Linked DNA regions of Astyanax mexicanus. The main gene of each other region encodes a partner of the protein of the gene in region 2 in a complex. Links are inferred from orthologs where the notes say so. Each region holds a gene or a part of one and is shown on either strand. Other genes may lie near its edges.

Region 1 (8,024 bases), on a different chromosome or scaffold from region 2:
GAGAGGAAGAGACGGAGAAAGTAAATGAGTTTATTTGACATATAATATTGAATAAACTAAGCAGAACTACTGCTTAGAGGATGGGAGTTCAGCTGTGTTTGAGCCTGTCATAACAGCAAACATGTTAAAACACAGGCATGGTGAATGTCATAGCATTTCTCTTTCTTTGTTCTTACATTCGGGTGAAAAAGAAGGCAATTAAAATGAATTATGTGAATGAAATGTAATGGTTTCTGGCACGGCTGTTTTGGTGAGGTGGTACCGAGGCCGTGTTTAGGCAGATGCTCCGCACGGAGCAGCGCTCGCTCTCTGGAATGCCTTTCGTCAGCTATCAGTCAGCTACTGCGCACAAGCATTCACACTTAAACACCACAGTCCTGCACACCACAAGGCAGCGGAAGGCAGCGAGCCAAGAGTCTGACTCAGATCTCAGGTATCAAAGGTTACACCTCAGTGAAAGTTAAGTAAATGTGAGACTCAGCCAATTAATACAAGTTCAGAAAGACAGCGAAGAACAAAAACAGTTTAGTTAAATAACTACAAATAAACATCTGAGGATGAAACGATGCTCTAATATCAACACATCAACACTGCTGCATGTAGGATGGTTATAATATTACAGTCAGATTAATGGGGTCTAACTCGATTAATGACTGTGTTCTTAAAGCCAGTGAAGAACACAAACAAACACATACGCTATTTATCTGGATCAGTCTCATTTTTCTTGGTAAACAGACACTGTGTATTGTGGGGAGGCCTGCTTGTTTCTACCTTTAACTTCTATTACTTTTGTACTTCATTATTGTAAGTCGCTTTGGACAAAAGCATCTGCCAAATGTAATGTAATGTAATGAAATGTAATGTTCATTAAGTGTATAAGGCCATTATACACTGTTAAAGTATACTTTCCTTGAGTAACTGTTTTTTATCAATATGTTTACTTAACAAAAAGATAAATACTTTAATTAATAAAGGTGTTAGTTAACAAATGTGAATATGTTATATAATAAACACAAGGTATGCATATTTATAAAAACGGTGAAGGACAGCATTACTTTGTACAAGCACATCAAGGTCATTAATTACCTCATATATTAATTCTCAATTTGTAATGGTTGGAAGATAACATAAAAGTGACGAATTGTCCCAAACTGCATAAATTAAAAATAATCTTTTCAGATGGAACATAAGAATAGAGTTATTTTATCCACATTGAGGAATTAGGTGGTTTTAGTGTTTTTTTTGTCTCATTCCTTAATTTTTTTAATTCATTCTAAAATGTCTAGTTGTGCTCCGGTGATCCGGTATAACGCTGCTTTAGTCCGGTGGAGGAGTGGGTGGAGGGGAGAAATGATAGGATTTCGGCTCTTGCTCATGAATATTCACACATGCAAACATATCGCCTCTGATTGACTAACAGCACTGCAACACCAGGAGGCAGCGAGATGAACAACAGTTAGAAATGTTTTAAAATAAAGACATTTTTTACACTAATAACAGTCTTTGCAGTGTCATATGTTACTGTCATATATGATTAGTATATGCAGTTCAGCCACTGACCGAGTCTTAGAATCTCTGTAAAACAGCGTTTCTCAACCTTTTTTCTATCACGGCACCCTTTAAATATATGCGAGATGTCAAGGCACCCCAGTTTACGGACGGGGGGGGAGGTGCTGGCGCAGTACTTCAGGTGAGAACGAGGGGTGTTGCTGGCGGAATATGAAATAAAATAGCGCGTGCATCGCGTGGGGGGACAAAAACTTTACAGTGTGTCCCAATTTAGGGGCTGCATCCTTCAGAGGCTGTATTCGAAGACAGATTGCGTCACAGCTGCGCAGTAATACACCGCCTCTGTGGGTCGCATCCTTCAGAGTATGCTGCCTGTGAATTGGGACACACCCCGACACGAGCTGACTCTGGAAAGGAAATATGCACGTGAAGCGCAATATTTTGACGGCACCCCCGATGAAGCCAGGCGGCACCCTGGTTGAGAAACACTGCTGTAAAACACCAAATCCACTGAAGATCCTATTTAAACCTATAGTTACACACCTTTTTTACTTTTAACTAGTGTAAACAGAATTTTACAGAACAATTATATAACCCCTCTTGACAGTGTGGGGGAGCCCCTAAAAATGCTTTAACGTCCTAGCACAACTCTAAAATGTTGCTCTACAAGGGCCTGGTGTCCTCTTAAGAGGCCATTATACTGTCACTTAGTGGTGGCAAAAGAATTTTACACATTACAGTATGATTTTCTTCAGAAATTTAAATAAACAGTAAATACAGTAAAAGTTTATGCTATTTACTTTATGTCTTTGTTTTGAAGTTGAATCTTCAAATGAGCCAAATTTCTACTTATATTTTGCACTCAGGCACAAAATAAATGTTTTGCACATCATTACTAACTACAAACTTCATTGTGTTCTATAGAAATATAAAACTAAAGTCCTCATATGTGGACATACAGAAACTATATTATGTAAAAAGACATTTCTTTGTTTTTACACTAATAAAGTGCCAATTAGCCCAAATAGCAAAGAGAAATAAAAAAAAATGCATGCCATGCAAGAGTTTCTTTCAAGAAAAGGTTTTTGGAAGAAAATTGTTGATGGTTCCTTGAAGACCCCAATGGATTCTTCTACACAGTCCCTCTATTCTCTCTCATTTACTAAAATTCATATTTCTAAAACAAAAGAAATCAAAGTGTTGAAACAATAGGAAAATTCTAAGACTACACATTGTCTCTTGACTGCATTTACTTTTCCTCTACGTATCGACTGAAAAACTGTACTATACTGTACTTGTGTTGTAACATGCTGTACATCTTACACGCTGTACACACTTCCACCCTCTCTAATGTAATGGGTAGTTTTTCTGATGCATGTTCTCCCGTTACCTGTTGCAGGTCCCTGGCTCTGGGGCAGCAGTACTCATCCCTGGGCTCCCAGCCCATCCTCTGCGGATCCATTCCTGGCCTGGTTCCCAAGCAGCTGCGCTTCTGCCGCAACTACATCGAGATCATGCCCAGCGTGGCCGAGGGCGTCAAACTGGGCATCCAGGAGTGCCAGCATCAGTTCCGTGGCCGCAGATGGAACTGCACCACCATAAAGGACAACCTGGCCATCTTCGGTCCTGTGCTGGACAAAGGTAAAATACATTAAATACAGAATGTCAATCACTTTTCTGCTATGTGTTTGCTTTGGAATATTACTTTGAAGGTGTGCTCAGGTAGCTAATGGCTTTATCAGCTCTTGAGATACAATCAGAACAGAATACACTTACGGAAACACTGGTTTTAGAATAATTAATAATTAATAATAATATAATGAATAAAATGCATCATTTAGAATGGTTGTTCCCCAAGAACCCACCACTAATACAGAAGATGCTGAGGGTTTAACACATGGTTTAGAGCAGGCCTGTCCCAATGACTACTATTTTATGTCAGTTACTTTATAACAATAAAGTCAATATCAAAAAATTAGAATATCCTTAATATAGTTACTTTATTTTAGTAATTCAGTCCAAAATCTGAAACTCTCATACAGCTCTGGAAAAAATTAGGAAACCACTTCAGTTTCTGAATCAGTTTCTCTGATTTTGCTATTTATAGGTTTATATTTGAGTAAAATGAACATTGTTGTTTTATTCTATAAACTACAGACAACATTTCTCCCAAATTCCAAATAAAAATATTGTCATTTAGAGCATTTATTTACAGAAAATGAGAAATGGCCGAAATAACAAAAAATGATGCAGAGCTTTCAGACCTGCAAATAAAACAAGTTCATATTCATAAAGTTCAGAAATCAATATTTGGTGGAATAACCCTGGTTTTTAATCACAGTTTTCATGCATCTTGGCATCATGTTCTCCTCCACCAGTCTTACACACTGCTTTTGGATAACTTTGTCTTTACTCCTGGTGCAAAAATTCAAGCAGTTCAGATTGTTTTAAAGGCTTTTGATCATACATCTTCCTCTTGATTATATTTTTTTCCAGAGCTGTATTATATAGATGTATTAAACACAGAGTGATCTATTTTTAGCGGTTATTTTAGTTAATCGTTGATGATTATGGCTTAAGGCCAATGAAAACCCAAAAATCAGTGCCTCAGAAAATTGGAATATTAAATAAGACCAAATGGTACTTTTGGCAGTGTGGGCAGTGTGCCAAGTCCTGCTGGAAAATGAAATCGCATTTTTCCCATATTGTGCAGCCCTACTAAAAAAAACGTACCGAAAACATAACAAAAATGTACCGAACCCTTGGGTTCATAATGAGGTTACACCCCTTAGTATATCACAGACAAAAGCAACCAAAAATTGTGCAGACGTAACGGATATCTGCTGAAAAAACTCCACCGCCATGCTTTAATAACACTCACAGTGTGAAATTGGCGATTATGTTTATTCCTCTGCCTTTATTCCTGCATTTCTTTTAAACAAAAGACAGTGAAGAAGACAATGGGTGATCTAAATGAGCAGAAACTCTGCTGAGCGACAGATAGTGGAGGTGGCCTATCTCCTTATCTCCTTATCTCCCTCTGCGGCAGATCCCCAGATCCCCGAGGGTGAAGATGAGCAGCCCCTGATGGAGAGCAGCGCTAGCCTGGCCGCGAGTGTTAGTGTTAGTGAGTGAATGAGAGAGAGAAAAAGAGAGAGAGAGAGAGAGAGAGAGAGAGAGATGGGGAGGCCAAATGAGATTACAAGCAATAGAAAAGGGCTGAGATGGGGGGTGTTGGGGGGTTCCGCTCAACCCCTACTGTGCGTGAAGGCCAGTATGAGCCATCTCTGTGTGCCTCTTACAGCCCGGCTCCCACGAACGCCCCATTCACACGCCCTTTTGACTGTGTCATGAAAACGGGCTGAAAGGGAATCTCCCAACCTTCCCCATCAGGAAGGGGGTGCAGTGATGGGCAGAGGAGAGAGGTTGGCCATGGTGAAGAGGGGGAGAGGTCAGAGAGAGAGAGAGAGAGTGAAGGAGAGAGAGAGGAAGATACAGGGAAGCCAGTGGTTTTCAATATATTGAGGGTTTATTTAAGAAACAATCCAACCCGGGGTGAGAAGGAAAAAGAAAGGCTCCAGGGTTCATGGTTGGTGTGTGCATGTCGCTGCTGGGATAAATGGGGGGGTGCTCCTGTTGGGAATGCCAGGCCGGCTCTGGGCAGAGCTAAGCTGGGCTGTGGGGGTGTGGGGGTGCCGGGCCCTTTTGTGCGGGTAATACAGTGTGACACCAGAGAGACAAAGGCGGATTCATGGGCCCAGCAGGTAGCGGGAGCAGCGCTCCGTTTGGCTCGGGGCCAGAGCTCCTGGGGCCCTCAGCTCACAGCACTCTGTTGTAGTCAACCCAGCTGGGCCTGCCAGAACCAACCGGGCCTCATTCTGGCCTCCCACCCTGAGAGGTGTGTGCCCAAACACACAAACATCAGGAGAAAAGAGCAGTGAAGCGGTGTGTGTGTGTTGTGTCCCCTTAGAATAAAACAACAACAGAACATACATACAAAACGTAAAACACACATTAAGAGTAGGGGTGGGTATCGTCACTGATTTCCCAGTTCGATTCGATTCTGATTCACAAGTAGGCTTGTCACTAGTGCTGTGTGATATGATGATAAATATCATGGGGACCCTATCGTTTCTACAGTAATTTCATCAATTATTGATGCAAATATATAAAGTAGGCTACAATAAAAATCTATTGGCATGGTCACTTTGCATGAACTCGGTTTATATAAGTGATAATAAAGTAATCTTCGCTTAAATTAAAAAAGCTTCATAATGTGATTTTGCAGCATGACGCTGCTGTACGTTATTTGATTCAAAATCGATTAATTTAGGTACATTTCTGTTACAATAAAAACTGTACTTTAAATATGAAATGTTGTAATTATACAAGAAACACAATTAGTGTTTATTTTATATCGACTTATATAAACACAACAGTTTTTATTTCAATTATTCTTTTAATATAATTTAATGTAGCTTAGTTAATTGCGACACCGTGCTTCACGTCTCTATACAGGTTTGTTATGTCCACTTTACTCAAATGTTTATGTGTGGGTAAAATATGATCCAGAACATTAATGAGGCTTTGAAAGCCTTCGTTTTTAACAATACTATACATATATACTGACATTTTAGTTATAGAAAACAGAAATATAACATGTTTCATAAATTTCTGTAAAAGTGTGAAATTTACCCAGACCCACTAGTTCAGATTTGATACAACAATAAGCAAAGTTTAGTGCACCGGCCGCATGTAAGGCTAGTAAACCCGGCTAAAGGGGGATTAGCTTCCCCGGTGATTTGGCTAACCCACTAAGCTAACAGTAGATTCAGCCAGTCAGGTCTTACTTTAAAATAGAGTACAGGCTGAAACAACACTGGAAAACAACTTAAAACAGTGTTAAATGTACTAGTTTGATAAACACAAGGTAGCATTAAGTGGAAATACAGAAGAAAATTACTTACATTTTTACAGAAACTCTCCGCAGGTAAGATTTATGACCAGAGAAACTTATAAAAATCTATTAACATTAATGTATCTTAATAACATAACGACAGCGCTGTGGAGTTGTGATTATTAGGAATACTGTAAAATATGTGTACTTATTGTGGTGGTTTATTATAACGGCGACAAGTTCTCAAATTAATTCAGGCTTTATGTAAAACATAAAACAAGACAAGAAAAGCTGAGCACCTTAAGAATTTTCAGAAGAAAAAAAAACTAAATTTTTTAAAAAAGTGTTGAAATGAATGACTCAGCAGTTCCTTCCCAGTATGACAGCATGATGAGGAGGAAAAAAAATCACCTGACGACATCCTGAGTCACACTCCCAGCCAGGTTAATAAACCTGACCTCTCACCTCACCTTTCACCTTTTAGGATAGGTAATATTACACAGACTAGAGGTGCCAAAAATGTGGCCAAAAATATTTGTTAAAAATTGTTTAGGGGAATAAAAATTTACTGCGCTTTTTAAATAAATATGTCTAACAAATCTTTGAGATGGCACTTAGTTTAGCTAACATATACAGCTTTGGAAAAAAAGAGACCACATTAGTTTTATTCTATAAACTACAGACAACATTTCTCCCAAATTCCAAATAAAAATATTGTAATTTAGAGCATTTATTTACAGAAAATGAGAAATGGCTGAAATAACAAAAAAGATGCAGAACTTTCAGACCTCAAATAATGCAAAGAAAACAAGTTCATATTCATAAAGTTCAGAAGTTCAGAAATAAATCAATATTTGGTGGAATTACCCTGATGGTTTTTAATCACAGTTTTTTTCATGCATCTTGGCATCATGTTCTCCTCCACCAGTCTTACACACTGCTTTTGGATAACTTTATGCTGCTTTACTACTGGTGCTGCTTTTGTAATGTTTTGTAATGTTTTCTTAAACAATCAAAAATCAAAACTACAATCAAAAATTATAGTACCATGTAGGAGATGTACCATATCGTATCGTACGCAATAGTATAACCAAATATTCTGACATGATATAACTCCTTATAGTGATATCACAATATACTTGAAAGCTATTTAATATATTTACATGTAATTGTATGTTTGCCGTTTAGATGCCCCAGGGAATACAGATGAAAATAAGCTTTTTAGCTAACTCTGGCACATTTACATTGATGTTGAAACGGAAATGTTTATCAAAATAGGAGATGCTGCACTATACATTTTTATTGTTACACTGATTTGGTGAGTTAATATTTACAAACTAATCATTTATAAACTTGCAGTAGTACATTCTTTAAATTATTATTATTGTTTTAAATACCATGTTTTGTCATACCAACATAAATATCATTATCGCAAAAATACCCTGAAATATTGTGACACATTTTAGGGCCTTATTGCCCATCCCTAGTAAAAATTCTAACTTTTTTCAATGGATTTTAAGTATGTAAAGTTGTAAAATGAATGACTCAGCAGTTCCTCCCCAGAATGACAACATCCACCTGAGTCACACTCTCAGCCAGGTCAATGAAAAACCATCGC
Region 2 (7,096 bases):
GGGGCTAATAGACAAGATGTGTGTTTGCATTTGCACATCTGTGTCAGCAATGGGTGCAATTTAAAGTGGCTGAATGTAACATTCATTAGTTCTACAGTAGATTTAGTGTCTACAAGTAATTGGGCATACAGGGTGTATGTACTGAGATCTTATGAATTTTAATGTGGACCATGTTGATTTTCCCATTTTAGCAAATTAAACAAATGCAAACACAGAATCCTGCAGCGCTGTTCAAACATGGCCAGTGTGCCGTGTTGCCTGGCAGATTAACAGAAGCAGGTTACTGTATCATATATTATACTGTATGTCCAAAAGTTTACAGACACCCCTTCTAATGAATGCATTTAATTTAATAAGCTGGGCCCATTGCTGTTGACACAGATGTGCAAGTAAACATACACAGCTTGTGCAAAAGAAGTAAAGAAGTGCCAGTGTATAATAGTATAGGACTGTCTGGAGCAGAGAAATATTAATCTATTGGCACCATGCCTAATGCCAGGTATGGGCTAGAGGGGTATGAAGCCCCAGCATTAAGCTGTGGAGAACTGAAACTGTGATCTCTGGAATGATGGAGCTCCATCCAATACTTTTGAATGGGATGAATTATGGATTTGCAGGGGTGTGTGATGTGGGGTGGTGATCATCTCATCCAGCATCCTGTACTCACTTAACACCCCTAACAAACTAACTGCTTCTAAACTCATTTCCTTCCCCCCTCCTTTCCTTCTCTCTCTTCCACTATAGGGTAAAACTTAAGCTTTACCTCTTTAAGCTAAGTATAGAGACAATAAGAGAAATATTAAGTTAAATTAATATTGTTAATTTCTGAACATGCAGCAGCAAGTGTCGTAAGTGCCTTTAAAATAAAACATTATGTCACCAGTTTAAATCCTGTTCATGCAGCTTGCCATCAGCTACTGTAGCCCTGAGAGAGCACAATTGGCCTTGCTCTCTCTGGGTGGGTACAGTAGATGTGCTCTTTCCCCTCATCACTCCTAGGGTGACGTGGATCAGCACAAGGCTGCGTCTGTGAGCTGATGTATCAGAACCGAGTCGCTGCACTTTCCTCCGAAAGCTGCTGTGATGCTACTCGCAGCACTAGCTCGAAAAGAGGCGGAGTCTGACTTCACATGTGTCGGAGGAGGCATGTGCTAGGCTTCTCCCTCCTTGTGTTGTGGCATCACTAGTGATAGGGTATGAAAACTGTATAAAACAGTATTAAAAGTTGTGAAGTCACTGATGTTAGAGGTTCCCAAGATAATAGGGTAAACAGAGAATTTGTGGACAAAAATTTAATTCATAAAAAAAATTAATATGCCAAATATCATTTTAATCTAATTTTTGAGGAAATATTTATTTTTAAACTTTATTTAATAAGAAATGTGTTGTTAAACCAGCCAACATACTGTGGACATTGTAAAAAAACACCCTGACATCAAAGAAAACTGTATAAAATGTGAACAATATTTGCAATAATGTGTTCATTTAAAGTAATAACTTACTGACTGTCACTTTAAGCTGCTCACCCTGTTGCGGTACAATACATTAAAATCATTTGACAATTCCACATGTCTGCACCTATAGACCAACCACATTTTTGTCAAAAAAAAACATTTTTGCTGAAATTGTCCATCCTGTCATGCAGCTTGGCATGACAGGGTGGACAAATGCATGCACCTGAAAATATGAAGTGATTAATTTCATAAAATATGATTTATCAGCGAAATTATGAGAGCTCCCTCTAAATTTAGTCAAAAGAATGAAAAATCTTTATTTATTTATTTGAGGCCTAACATACACAGTTTTTTGATGATGATTCTGTTGTTTGATGATAACATTATACACAACTTCCATGACTACCTTAGTGTTTATGCCTTTTTTATTATTTTTATTATAGTTATTATTATTATTCAATGAATATGGCAATATTCAAAACAAGAAATGGAGCATAAGTGTACATACAAAAAAAACGAGATTGTGAGAAGCTGCATGCATCAACAAAATAAAACTAATAAAAGAAAATAAAATAAAAGGCAATATGAAGGCAGTACAAGTCAAGTTTCACACAGTTAAAATTCAAATTAAAAGCAGGGACTGTGCTTTTCAAATATTTATTTTTTTGTTTTGCTTTTAATTTTCTTAACATATTATAGTGACTTGAAAAGCATGCAAAATCATGTATAAACAGGTAAAGAATATGCAGAATATGACATTTACCCAAAATAATAAATAGATTAACTAAATCTGAAATGTTTGTAGTTTTTATTTCAGCCCATATGATAAAAAGTATGTCATTGTAAGTACAATTTGGTTTGTCATTAATTTTTTTCTGAAATCCAGTAATGAATATCAGATCAAAGTAAATAAATAAATAAATAAATAAATAAATAACTTAGTAAGTTATTTATAAATAAATAAATTACTGTAATTTAACACAACTGTAATTTAATTTAACAAATACATGTTCAATAGACTCTTCAGTCTCTCCATCACAGAAACTGCATGAGCCTGTCTGATATGTAAATCTTTTATGTAGTAAGTAATTGACAGGGTATACTGCTGTACTGTTGTATTTTTTAAAGCGTGTATTTCTTTAGCTTTAGGACTAATAGGACAGGGCTAAGTGTTTATTTCTGGACCTGGAGATCTAATCTACCACCCTGAGGATTTCAGACACACCTGAGTCTGTAGGAAGATCACATGTCCCTTTGCTTCAGGCTTCAGTTAAGCCTGGAGAGGAAACGCCGCACATTTCTACCTGGGGGTTACTAGAGTTCATCTCACTGGACTGAAACTCTGTAGAAACGCCCAGCGTTCAAAAGTAGCGCTTTCATTGGCTCAGGAATGTCGTGCCGGTTCGGCCACGCCCTTTCTGCAAAATATAGGGCTCCTATTGGTGGTAACGACAGAGGCAACCCAAGAGATCATTCATTCAGTTATATTTATTTTATTTTAAATATGAGTTTAACATGGAATTTAAGCTATACATCATAAAATATGTATAACAAAAATTGTAAAAGTTTGTGCAACGCCCTTTGTCAAGACAGTGGATCTTAGCTGGATGTTACCTGCTGAATTTAATGTATATTAATTTTGTTGATAAATGTATTTTTATTAATAAATAAATGAATAAATATATATTTTTAAATACTATATAAAAATAAGTATAAATAAAATATCACCTACATCAAAAGAAGGGAAGCTGAGTTTGATATTAATCCAATTTCTAATGTCCGTCCAAAAAAAAAATCTGTGAATATTGACATAAAAAAAACAAACAAATGTTTCAGAGATTCATCTTCTGACTTCTGACAAAAGTCACATAAATCAACTTCAAATTTAAATCTTCTCTTAAGAAAAGGGGCTACAGGTTATTTATTATTTTAAAAAATCTTTCACTTTAGGAGATATGGGCCATTTGGCAAATCTGAAGTGAGCTATATATAATTTCATATTTTTATCATATGTATTAGGAAGTTATTTTAAAGAATTTATATTATATTTACAGTAAATATTTTGTCTCAAACCATCATTGATAATGTACTTCTAACCTCGTTTCGTTTCTCCTCTACTCCTCTATCCCATTATTCCCTTTGACTTCCTTAAGGCCCTATCTAAAGATGTTTTTTACCTTTTAACTTCTATTACTTTTGTACTTCACTATTGTAAGTCGCTTTGGACAAAAGCGTCTGCCAAATGTAAATGTAATGTAATGTAATGTAATGATAGTCGTATTATTACACTTAATGTAAAGTAAATTACAATCGTTCACTTTTAATGTGGGCAATGAAAGATTCACCTTTGGATATACAATGTATTATAATGGAACTTATGACTCTGGTATGACTGAAACCAGAAGGCCACGGGAGTCACGCCCCCTATTAAAAACAGATCGTGGCCATTGGTTGAGGTTGCGTCAAACGCTTTACAACGCCCACTATGCTAAACGGAGCTCAGCGATTGGCTGGGTGTGGTTTCCATGGGCGTTGATTTCCGGTATGCAGCGGGTGGAATTTCAGGTTCCTGGTCGCTGTGGTGGTGGTTGTTGGGCTGTTGGGGGTTTCTCTGGGAGGGCAGATCGTGTTATTGCCCGGTTACCGCTCTACCTATCGCCCACCATCGCCCCCGCTTCCCGCACGCGCTTCATGTATGTGATCGCATGCGCTTTGGGTCGAAGACAAGCATGACGGAGAGCTCAGCGATCAGGGAGGCGAACGGCGGTCCGGGGCACGGCGCGGCGAACGGGCTGAAAGTGGGGAGGAACGGCTGGGTGAAGAACCAGAAGCACCACCACAAGAAGCCCAGCAGCTACGCGGAGGAGAAGGTGAGCAGGCTGGATACCTGGATAAGTGTGTGTGGGTCCTCAAACATGTAGCTTTATGTTTATAGATAGGTTTACTAACTAGCTTAGCGGTGTTTAGCCTGGATAGCTAACTAGCTAAACACACTTCCTAGTTACCAGAGTTTCAGTTAACCTACCCTATAGGAGTGGGCAATATTATATCGTATACAATATATCGTGACACAGAAATATCGTGATATTAAAAATCCATATCGTAATTAAAAGTAGTCTATTATTATTTACTGTGAAGCTTTAGGTGTATTTATTGTATAATTTTGCCACATTATGATTATTCTGTTATACTATTATACTATATTCCTGAAATGAATGGATTATTTTAGTTTTCCTATATCGCCAAGTATAACGTTATCGCAAAAATACCCTGAAATATCATGATATTATTTTAGAGCCATATCGCCCACCCCTACTACCCTACTTACCTAACTAACTCAATAATACAGTATAATACAGTATAGCTAATTAATCACTAATCCACTTCACCTATGTAACTACAGTTATAGCTACACTTCTCTTAACTCCTGCTAGAGATCTTCCTGGTTATCAGAGTTTCAGTTAACATACCCTACTTACCTAACTAACTTAATAATACAGTATAGCTAATTAATCACTAATCCATTTGTCCTATATAACAGTTACTGGTAGAAGGCTGTTCCTGAAGAACAGAAGTTCAGAAATAAGAAACTATTTCTATAATCCTTAAACACAGATCTCTAGCAGGAGTTAAGAGAAGTGTAGCTATAACTGTAGTTTTATAGGAAAAGTGGATTAGTGATCAATTAGCCATACTATATTACTAGAAACATCAGTTAGAATGCTAATCCTGAAGAACAGAAGTTCAGAAATTGGAAATTATTAATGTATTCCTTAAACACAGACCTCTAGCAGGAGTTAACCCAGAAGTAAACCACCTGTAAAAGTTTATTTTCACCTATATTGCTAGTTTACTAACTAACTAACTTGGTTGGAAAAATCTACTTGAAGGCTGTTCCTGAAGATCTGAAGTTTAGAAATAGCACATTATTCCTATAATCAAACACAGATCTCTGTTTACAGGACCTAAAACAGAAGTTAAACCACCTGTAATAGCCCATTTTTTTTTACCTATATAGCTAGTTTACTAACTAACTAGGTAAGAAAATATGTTAAAAGGCTGTTCCTGAAGAACAGAAGTTCAGAAAGAAGAAACAATTCCTTTAATCCTTAAACATAGATAATATTACTGCAGTTATATAGGAGAAGTGGATTAGTGATTAATTAGCTATACTGTGTCACTGGTATTAGATTTTTGTTTAAGGATTAAATGAATAGTTTCTTGTTTCTGAACTTCTGTTCTTCAGGAGCAGCTTTCTAACTGATATTTCTAACCTAGTTAGTTAGTTAACTAGCTATATAGATGATAATAAGCTTTTACAGGTGGTTTAATTTCTGGGTTAAGTCCTGTTAACAGAGATCTGTGTTTGATAAGGGAATAGTTTACGCTTTTTGAACTTCTGTCCGACCTCAGTTACCTAGCTAACTAGATAACAAGATAAATAACTGTAAAACAAGTTAAATAACTGTAAGATATATCTTCTAAATACATACAAAAGAAACATCTTAGCTAGCTCTCCACCACCAGTTCTCCTCATCTGTTTCAGAACCTCCTACGGTTGGGTGAGGGGGTGTTCAGGAGGGAGTTCAGAAGCCATTCAAACATTAGTGTAAGATCTGCTTTCTCCTCCCATCTAGATGGGTGGGTCAGGTGTGTGTGTGTGTGTGTGTATGTTTGATCAGGGTTGGGAAAGAACAAGTACGCAAGGTGAGAGATACAGTATCCAGAAGGAGGGTTGGGCACCACCCTCTCTCCCTAGACCAAACACTGAACACTGTACACTATACATATTTTATAACCAGGATGATTTTGTTGACACAACATGGAAAATAAAATTTCAAGGAGTGAGCATATGCCAAAATTACACCACTCTATTAAACCTGAGATCAAAGGAATTAAAAATACGCAAAACTAACACAACTCCCTGTTAGATTTGACTTACCACCTACTTTTGCTCTAAACATATATGAAAACTGCAACAAAATTAAAATGGATCACATTGTGAAATGGAAGTGCTGGATTGATTTGAGCAGGATGCTTTTCCAGGTCATTAAATTAGAGGAAGCCTAAAGGATGGTTTATAGTTCAGCATGTTGTTTTTTTTTTAGCTTTTTTGATTATAAAGCCCAGGGGTCTCTTTCCCACATTCAGATTTCTTAAACCAGGATGACACAATTTTTACACAATTTGGGAAACTATACTTGAGAACAAGGGAATCAAAAATTACACAAACCCAAAACTACCATAACTAACATACGGGTAGACAAAAATAAATGGCACCTGCTATTTTCCTCAAAATATATATAAAACTGCATCAAAACTAAAAGGAAAGTTTGAGTTTGAAATGGAAGTGCATGGTTGCCGTTAGCAGGATGTTTTTCCAGGTCGTCAAAGGGGAGGAACCCTAAAGGATGGTTTAGGAAGGATACCTATGTGTCGAGTCAGCATGTTATCTATAGTGTAGCCTGTGCATGAGGCCTAAACCGCTGTGTGCGTTTATGCTTGTGTGTTTAAACCGCAAACATTTGAATGTGTAGGCAGGTACATGTGGACCAATCACAGCTACTGCACCTGTGACACCGTAGTACGTAAATACATTTCTGGGGAGGTGCATGTCATAACATGTACGTTAAATAGAGTAA

Evidence for each region. The genes of interacting proteins can lie anywhere in the genome.
Region 1: the proteins of sptlc2a (region 2) and ormdl3 are in contact, whole or in part, in a cryo-EM structure (PDB 7K0O), measured with the Homo sapiens proteins. The link is inferred for Astyanax mexicanus from reciprocal best matches to the Homo sapiens genes SPTLC2 and ORMDL3. Residues at the interface, in NP_004854.1 of Homo sapiens: Glu65, Thr66, Pro67, Met68, Ala71, Val72, Tyr75, Tyr86, Gln116, Phe118, Glu119, Asn120, Phe121, Tyr122, Tyr127, Trp134, Asp259, Glu260, Leu261, Asn262, Val267, Arg271, Ile279, Met320, Val495, Val496, Gly497, Phe498, Pro499, Ala500; in NP_001307730.1 of Homo sapiens: Met1, Asn2, Val3, Gly4, Thr5, Ala6, His7, Ser8, Pro12, Val16, Ser19, Arg20, Gly21, Ile22, Leu24, Ser25, Leu28, Phe63, Val67, Lys68, Gly69, Thr70, Pro71, Phe72, Glu73, Pro75, Gln77, Arg81.

Annotation. Positions count from the first base shown.
Region 1 is NC_064422.1:44,020,836-44,028,859, reverse strand, and holds the start of ormdl3 (ORM1-like protein 3), read right to left. Parts: upstream 2,909-8,024; 5' UTR 2,900-2,908; intron 1-2,899. Other genes in the region: wnt3 (proto-oncogene Wnt-3), read left to right, coding at 2,909-3,150. UniProt on the Homo sapiens protein: Plays an essential role in the homeostatic regulation of sphingolipid de novo biosynthesis by modulating the activity of the serine palmitoyltransferase (SPT) in response to ceramide levels.
Region 2 is NC_064421.1:6,544,151-6,551,246, reverse strand, and holds the start of sptlc2a (serine palmitoyltransferase 2), read left to right. Parts: upstream 1-4,013; 5' UTR 4,014-4,159; coding exon 4,160-4,324; intron 4,325-7,096. UniProt on the Homo sapiens protein: Component of the serine palmitoyltransferase multisubunit enzyme (SPT) that catalyzes the initial and rate-limiting step in sphingolipid biosynthesis by condensing L-serine and activated acyl-CoA (most commonly palmitoyl-CoA) to form long-chain bases.